Yarrowia lipolytica: one gene and its partner. The protein of the gene in region 1 purifies or fractionates together with the protein of each later gene. This does not show direct contact. Links are inferred from orthologs where the notes say so. Each region holds a gene or a part of one and is shown in the gene's direction. Other genes may lie near its edges.

Evidence for each region.
Region 2: the proteins of YALI1_C16204g (region 1) and YALI1_F07675g purify together in Saccharomyces cerevisiae (affinity purification with mass spectrometry, with the first as the bait; 3 studies listed by BioGRID). This does not show direct contact. The link is inferred for Yarrowia lipolytica from reciprocal best matches to the Saccharomyces cerevisiae genes SPT5 and RPO26.

What each region holds. Positions count from the first base shown.
Region 1 is NC_090772.1:1,618,849-1,623,993, forward strand, and holds YALI1_C16204g (uncharacterized protein), read left to right. Parts: upstream 1-1,574; coding exon 1,575-4,517; downstream 4,518-5,145. Other genes in the region: YALI1_C16200g (uncharacterized protein), read right to left, coding at 640-1,224; YALI1_C16255g (uncharacterized protein), read right to left, coding at 4,840-5,145. UniProt on the Saccharomyces cerevisiae protein: The SPT4-SPT5 complex mediates both activation and inhibition of transcription elongation, and plays a role in pre-mRNA processing.
Region 2 is NC_090775.1:766,514-769,575, reverse strand, and holds YALI1_F07675g (uncharacterized protein), read left to right. Parts: upstream 1-1,890; coding exon 1,891-1,919; intron 1,920-2,040; coding exon 2,041-2,470; downstream 2,471-3,062. Other genes in the region: YALI1_F07655g (uncharacterized protein), read right to left, coding at 2,778-3,062. UniProt on the Saccharomyces cerevisiae protein: DNA-dependent RNA polymerases catalyze the transcription of DNA into RNA using the four ribonucleoside triphosphates as substrates.

The sequences.
Region 1 (5,145 bases):
CGGGTAGCTGGGTGGAGGGGTTTTGAGCGGAGCTCCGAGCTGCAACATGGATTGTTCAAACTCTGTTGGGTGGTGCATATGCATAATGTGGAATTTATTGGGAATTTAGCTTGGATTAAATGATAATGATTAAAACAGGGATTAGTTATTTATAAAAACAATCTGCAAAAAAAATGGGGGAAAAATGGGAAAAAATGAGAATAAAAATGAGAATAAAAATGAGAGAGAAAATGAGAGAGAAAATGAGAGAGAAAATGAGAGAGAAAATGAGAGAGAAAATGAGAGAGAAAATGAGAGAGAAAATGAGAGAGAAAATGAGAGAGGAAATGGGAGAGAAAACGACTAGTTGATGCTGTTGTTATTGCTTTACCATACTACACACGACCTAATAGTTTTTTATGTTGATTGACGGACTCTCTCCTATGTAGGAAGTCCAACAAGTTCAACTCATGGTCTGTTGTGATAGCCCTCCTGATCCAAGAGATATAACCAAAAGGGCCCGTTATCATCCAATCTGAAACATCCGCGCACCACATTCACACACATTGTCTTCATTAGTCCATTCATTACTTGCCGGCCGGTTTCTTGACACTCCCACTCCCACATCCCTTCCACACTCGTCATGCTATATACAATCCATTAAATGACAGCGTGGGTGGGGAACTGTGGAACCGGCTCCTCGGCATGCATCAGATAACGCGACAGTTGACAGCTCTTGCCAGTGATAGGCAGAATCAGCCGGAAAGCATCGTTGGAGTTCAGATAGTATCGATGCAGACGTTTGGTACGCACAAATCCGATATTTTCGTACAGGCTCATAGCAGCCGCGTTGTTGACCTCGGTTTCCAACATGATTTCGTCCGCCTTGAGATCCACCATGGCTGCAATCGCCAGGTCAATCAGCTTTTTGGCGATACCTTGGCCACGGTAATCTGTCTTGACAGCCAGCATGGCTATGTATCCTCTCGATCGGCACCCACGGTAGTCCTCCAGCTTGCAAACCACCGTTCCGATGGCCTTTTTGTCCATGGACCCGTCGGCCTGCTTCTCCTCCTCGTCTTCATCAAATGCAAGAAAACAGAGGTTGGGCCATGACGAAATGAAGTATCTGTAGACGTAGACCGAGTAGGGCTCGGACAGGTCGTGGGAGATCATGCCCTTGACACTTTCCGTGTCATTTTGTTGGTTGGCGGTGTCGTACGGTCGGTAGCTGATCTTCACCATTTTTCGGGGTATTAATCACAATTAATGAACTACGTCCCAGCTTGGAGTAGTGGAAAATCAACCCTAACCCATAAATCATTATCCACCATGGTGAGGAGAGAGAGGTAGCGAATTGGGGTGGTTTCCAGACATGTTATCGGTGAAATATGAGATTCAAGCAAATCCTTGTCTGCCTCATTTCCCACGAATGAGCGTTTTTTCACCATTTTGCCCGATTTGATCCCCTTTTGCTCACATGATCTCTTTCCACTCCCCTCTCATTAGTAATCCTCCCACTGAACCTTGTGAAGGTGACGTAAAATTCCAGCACAGGAATAGCTATCGTTTCAACATCAAACATCACCACGAAAATGTCGGATCGAGAAGAGTCTGGCTCTCCCGAGCCTCGGTCCAAGATTGAAGAAGATCTCGAGAGCGACGAGGAGGTGAAGACCATCAAGAGCGAAGAGGTGGACAAGACACAGGACAACGTGGAGGACGAGGACGACGAGGAGGAAGAGGAAGAGGAAGAGGAAGAGGAAGAAGAGGACGACGATGAGGAGGACGTGCGGCAACGAAAGAAGCCCCGACGGGAGCGAAGAAACCAGTTCCTGGATGTCGAGGCCGAGGTGGATGAAGATGAAGAGGATCTTGAGGAGGACGAAGATGGACTCATTGGAGAAGACGGATTCGTTGCTGAGCCTGATGCCGACGAGCCCGATGCCTCGGACGACCGATTCCATCGAGAGATGGACCGGCGACGAGAAGCCATCGCCGAAGAGGATGCCGAACGACTGGCCGATGAGTACCGAGAAAAGTACGGTCGATCGACAGCCAACAAGTACCGAGGAGACAGTGGAGTGATCCCCCAGCATCTGCTGCTTCCCTCTGTCAATGAGCCCTCCATTTGGGGTATTCGATGCAAGCCCGGCAAGGAAAAGGAGCTGGTTCGACAATGTCTTCGAAAGAAACTGTCTCTACAAAAGTCCAGAAACCCGCTGGAAATCATGTCCGTGTTTCAAAGAGATACCTTCACCGGATACATCTACATGGAGGCCCGTAACCAGCAGGCTGTGACTGTGGCTCTTAAGGGTCTGGTTAACGTCTATCCTCAGAACATGATTCTGGTGCCCATCAAGGAGTACGTTGATCTTCTGCGAGCCACCAAGTCTGCCGAGACTGAGCTCGTTCCCGGCGCATACGTGCGTCTCAAGCGAGGAAAGTATGGCGGCGATCTCGCCATTGTCGAGAATTTGTCTGAAAATGGTCTTGAGGTTCGTCTCAAGCTGGTGCCCCGTCTCGACTATGGACGAAATGCAGAGGCTGGAATTGACGGTAAACGAAAGCGAGTGGCCCGAATCCCTCCCCCACGACTCTTTTCTGAGCAGGAGGCTTCTCAGTATGACCCTCGAAATCTGCAGAAGCGTGGCCCCAATGCGTACGTTTACGCGGGAGACGAGTACATCGGAGGCTTCCTGTACAAAGATTTCAAAATCACCCTGGTGAACGCCGAGAACGTTGCGCCCAAGCTTGAGGAGCTGACCCGTTTCAACTCTGAGGAGACTGACGGTATCGATCTGGCCTCTCTTGCCCAGAGCCTTCGAAAGTCTGCCGCGGCTGTCCAGTTTCAGGGTGGAGATGTCGTCGAAGTGTCTGAAGGTGAGCAGACCGGTGTTCAAGGTACTGTCATTTCTACACACGGCGATATCGTCACCGTGGAGGCCACGACGGCTCCTCTGGTTGGAAAGCGCATCGATCTGCCTAGCCGATCTCTACGAAAGAAGTTTGCCATTGGTGATCACGTGCGAGTCATTTCCGGTAACTTCCTCGACGACACTGGTCTGATTGTGGGTCTAGAGGACGACTCCGTGACTCTACTGTCCGATCTCAACAAGAAGGAAGTCACAGTGTTCGCCAAGGATCTCAAGAAGGTGTCTGATATTGGAGGTTCACATCAGGTCGGTGACTACGAGCTCCACGACTTTGTGCAGCTTGACGCTCTTCATGTCGGTTGCATTGTAAAGGTGGAGAGAGACAGTCTGAAGGTGCTCGACCAAGAAGGTACTGTTCGATCAGTCACTCCTTCTTCTATCACCATGAAGCTCACTCGAAACATGGAAGGTCTGGCCACCGACTCCAACGGTTCTGAGATCAAAATTGGCGATACTGTTCGAGAGACCGTCGGTGAGGGTCGACAAGGTGCCGTTCTTCACATCTACAAGAACACTCTGTTCCTCAGCTCCCGATCTCTCGGCGTCTTTGTCGCCAAGGCCTTCAAGGTTAATACCATTGTTGCTAAAGGAGCTCGAACACAGTCGAACTCTCAAGCAACTGGTCCCGATCTCACCAAGATGAACCCTGCCGTCTACAATGCCCGACCTGGCCAGATGGCTCCTCCCGTCATGCCCAAGCAGGGAGGTTTCGACCGTCTCAAGGGCAAGCATGTTGCTATCGGGCCTGGTTCTCAACACAAGGGATGCAAGGGTATTGTCAAGGAAACCACAGACGATATTGCTCGAGTCGAGCTTCACGCTCCCTGCAAGGTTGTCAACGTTCTGAAACACCAGCTGCGAATCTACGACGATTACAAGAAGACGTACCTGTCATACATGGAGTTTGCTACTCCTAGAGGTATGCGATCGGGTGGTGGTCGTCCTGGAGGGCCCCCTGGTCCTGGCGGACCTGGGTCTGGTGGACAGACCCCGTCGTGGGGTGGTGGTGGAAAGACCCCGTCGTGGGGAGCAGGTGGAAAGACCCCGTCGTGGGGAAGCAAAACCCCGTCGTGGGGTGGGGCAAAGACATCGTCTTGGGGTTCGCGAACACCTGCTGCCAATGCAGGAGGTGCACAGACACCCGCATGGGGAGCAATGGGAAACAAAACACCATCTTGGGGCGCATCAGAGTCTCGCACCCCTGCATGGGGCGGGGCAAAAACTCCAGCTTGGGGAGCAGCTGGTGCTGGGTCGAAAACCCCGGCCTTTGGAGTCGCACGTACGCCTTCGTGGAAGTCGTCGTCTGCAGGAACATACGGCGGCTCTTCTTCGCGAAACAAGGGCTGGGAAGATCTCGGAAGCGGCAACTCGGCTCCCACTCCAGGCTACGCTGCTGCCACTCCTGGTGAGATGATGGGTGCCCCTACTCCAGGTGCTGCTCACCATCCTTGGGAAGATTCTGCTCCGACACCTGCTGCCTATAACGACGCGCGAACTCCGGGTGTCTATGATCCTCGAGGTTCTGGACCTGCTCAGGCCGAAACCCCTGCAGCCTGGTCCACGGATGATGCTCCTCGATATGATGATTCTCCCACTCCTTAGTGGGACGTGTGTGTATAATAAATGATTGTGTATTATTCTGCAATATAGATATGAGCGGCTTCCGCGTAGAGGCAATTGTGTGGCTGTTGTACATTACATACTATACTGGTGTAAGTGGTAGATTGAACTTCTGGGCGGTGATCTTCGATTACCAGCGTACTGTACTTGTATGATTAATACCATCAGCGCGTATATAATTACGATCGCACTGTAGGTGAACAAAAAGTAGCAATATCATTGAACAAACAACTGACTTATTCGTTATGCTTTATACCACTCGTTAGCATCATAGCTGAAAAGTTCGAGTCGTTGGTCTCATCAGCTACTCCACGTAACTTGTGGGGAAAGCACCTCTTTGTCCGTTCAACTCTCCCTCCGTCCATCCATCTCTATCGGGCTCCACCACCACAATCTGGTCACCGGCCTTGATCGACAGCTCGGTATCGTCCTGGGCATTGTAATCATACAGTGCGGTGACGTAATCGACCTTTTTGGCACCCTGTTTGGGCGCGACAGGAGGACCCTTTCGTTTGATTGAGAACGCAGACTTCAAGCTTCCACCTCCACCTCCAGAGGATGGTGTGGTGGCACTCTTGGGAGGGTTCATGTCGACATATGAAGCAGGCAC
Region 2 (3,062 bases), on another chromosome or scaffold:
TTCACGTGACCAAAATGATCCCTCCATGTCCCCCTACTCCCGGAATTCCTCAAAATCACTTTGCGTCACGGTACATAAGACATGCATCTGTCGAAAAATATATTTAGCTGGGTCAGGGTGGTGTACGGGAGCAGTGACCATGCCGCTGGTACTGTACCTACTGTTGTGAAACGGTAATGGAGTTGGCGAGCACTACCGGTAGCGGCGAAGTGGGTAAAATGTACGCCCTGTGTCTTTAACTAGCCAATCAGAGCGTTCATAAAAAGGAAAGTCCACTGGATTTGCCACAAGCCATGCCTTTCTAGTTGCCATTGTAACACCCTCACGCTCTCTCTCGCACTCCGCTCGCCACCTTACATCCTGTATCCTGTAGCATACATTTGACAGCGTCTGTGCAAACCAAATACGAATGACATGAATGCCTGCAGGAGACGCAAGTGGGCCCAGAGTGAGCCACCGGGGCCTATCATATGTCCTACGAGTCATTACAAGGTCTCATAGCGGATTGGGTGGTGGTTGCGGAGCCTGTTGATTACTTGGGCGTTAGTTGGAAGACAGTAGGCTGATGATGAAGATTCTGGTGATATAGAGATGCCGCAAGGATGAAAAGTGGGTTTGTGGACTATCAGAGAGAGACAAATGGAATTATTCCCGAAAACTCCACCTGCTATATACAATTTTCACGAGATTTCGTTATCGTGGATAGCACTTAGATGCAACAACTACACGACATTGTGTGACAGTAGAAGTGAAAAATTCTACAAGTATCAGTACTGATACTCTGATAATCTACAAGTATCGGTACTAGTACATACTGTACTCTGATAACCTCTCCGTGTACAGTCATATCATCAAAATGTATACGCAGTCACAGTCCCTCATATTGAAACGGGCAGTAGCTCGCAACACAGCATTGTATGTGACAATGAGGGAGGATAACTACACCAAGCAAGTGAGGAGATCACCCTGATTCACATGGTAGTATTAATATCCAAAACATGGGGTACCTGGGACGAGTAGAGTGGCTCACAGGTGTGTTTCTACCCGAAACTGGTTGGACACCGAGGTGAAATCGTGAATAGTTGAGATACAAGGTAACAAAAGACGGGAACAGATTATTCAGACCCGGTTAGGTTGGTTTGACTGCTGGAATTTCGGATATGCAATTCTCAACGCCGTTCAGATCAACCCTCTTGTTACGCTGGCAGGTTATGAAGGGAGAGAAGAACAGATTGTCAACACATTACGTGATCAGATATCATCATCATCTCAGACATAGTGAGCATATTTAAATCGTCTGTATTGGTTGTATATCAGTTACTAACATACAACCAACAAGCACGAGTACATACTGTACTGTACTTGCAGTCGTAACCTGCTCAGATACTCCTAGATGTTTCAACTAAAGTTCTAACAAAGTATCAATGTCTTTCCCACAAACCAGCATCAACATATCAACTTTTTTTGTATTGCAAGAGAGTCATTTTAATTCATATTAACACTTCTCAAAGCTGTATAATTCAAATGGAATAAATACTAAGCATCTACCATTACTGTAACATTGTATTTGAACCTCCAGCTGACTTTTGATCTTAACAAATCTCCAAGTAATCTTTCCCATAATCCAAACCTCGCGCAGTAAGTAATCAAAAAACAAGACGACAGAACGTTCATCCGGAACACACAAGGTGCCAACAACCCACATCTCTGAAGTCGCGAGACTGTTTCTCTTCGGCGGTCCCCGCCTCCCCGGGCCAAATACTTCTGGCTCCTCCTCCATTGCAGCTTAGTCATATTGAACTTTGATTGTTTTTTTTTTTGACTGGGAGTACATCAAACCTTGCGTGGAAAAACCATCATCACCACATTTCAGTACCACACTTGATCATCATGTCTGATTACGGTGGAGACGAGGAAGCGTGAGTAGGGGTAAGGAGCGCCAGGAGGGATCACGTGCGTTTTATGGGGACGAACACGTGACTCGCGTCGTCCGATTACGTCCACAACATGGCCCAGCACCCAGCGCCCAGACTAACACAGATTCAACGACAACTTTGAAAACGCCTACGAGGAGGAGTTTGAGGAGCACGTTTCGGATGTGGAGGAGAACGGCGAGGAGGTGAAGACGGACGTGGCCGAGGACGGACGTCAGATCGTCAACGGAGAGGGCGTGGAGAACTTTGAAAAGGCTGTGCGACGAAAGACGGTCCGAGAACTGGCCATCCCTCGAGAAGAGCGAACTACCACCCCATACATGACCAAGTACGAGCGGGCCCGAGTGCTGGGTACACGAGCGCTGCAAATCTCCATGAACGCGCCCATTCTCGTGGACATTGAGAACGCCACGGACCCTCTGCAGATCGCCATGAAGGAGCTGCAGCAGAAGAAGATTCCTCTGGTGATTCGAAGGTACCTGCCCGACGGCTCCTTCGAAGACTGGGGATGCGACGAGTTGATTGTCGATCAGTAAGTAATTGTAAGATAGCATAGATGGTTTGGAAAATGGAATGTGTCCTGTAGAGTACTGGTCGCCGTACATAGGTGCATGATCATGATATTGTATCACGTAATGTATCTCAGTAAAACGTCCGGGGGCCTTTCTCTCTTGGACTCGTTCATCTGTGATGGTTATAATCGATGTCCCTTACATCCAGCTGATTCATCCATCTGGTGCATCCATTTGAGCTGAGACTGCTGCTCGTTTGTCCTTTACGATGGCCATACAATATAATACATTTTCTACCTCTAACCGTTTTACTAGTAGCAGTCCCTTCCTTCTACTCTCCGTAAATCCAAAACTGACAGAAAATGACAAAGTCAAGGAACAGAGTGCCAATGGCTCCAAGCAGCCACGAGGCGTTGATGATGAGATACTGCCGGCTGGTATCTTTGAGCAAAATGGAAGCCACAGCAGTGAGGTTGCCGAGACAGGCAAACAGGAAGAACATGAAGGAGATACCCTCGCACGACTTTCGCTCGTAGTTGAGCACAATCTGAGGCACCCGAGAGCCCAGGTAGAAGGCAGCACATAGCCAGCCGAAAAACTGACCCAGCATGTTCAT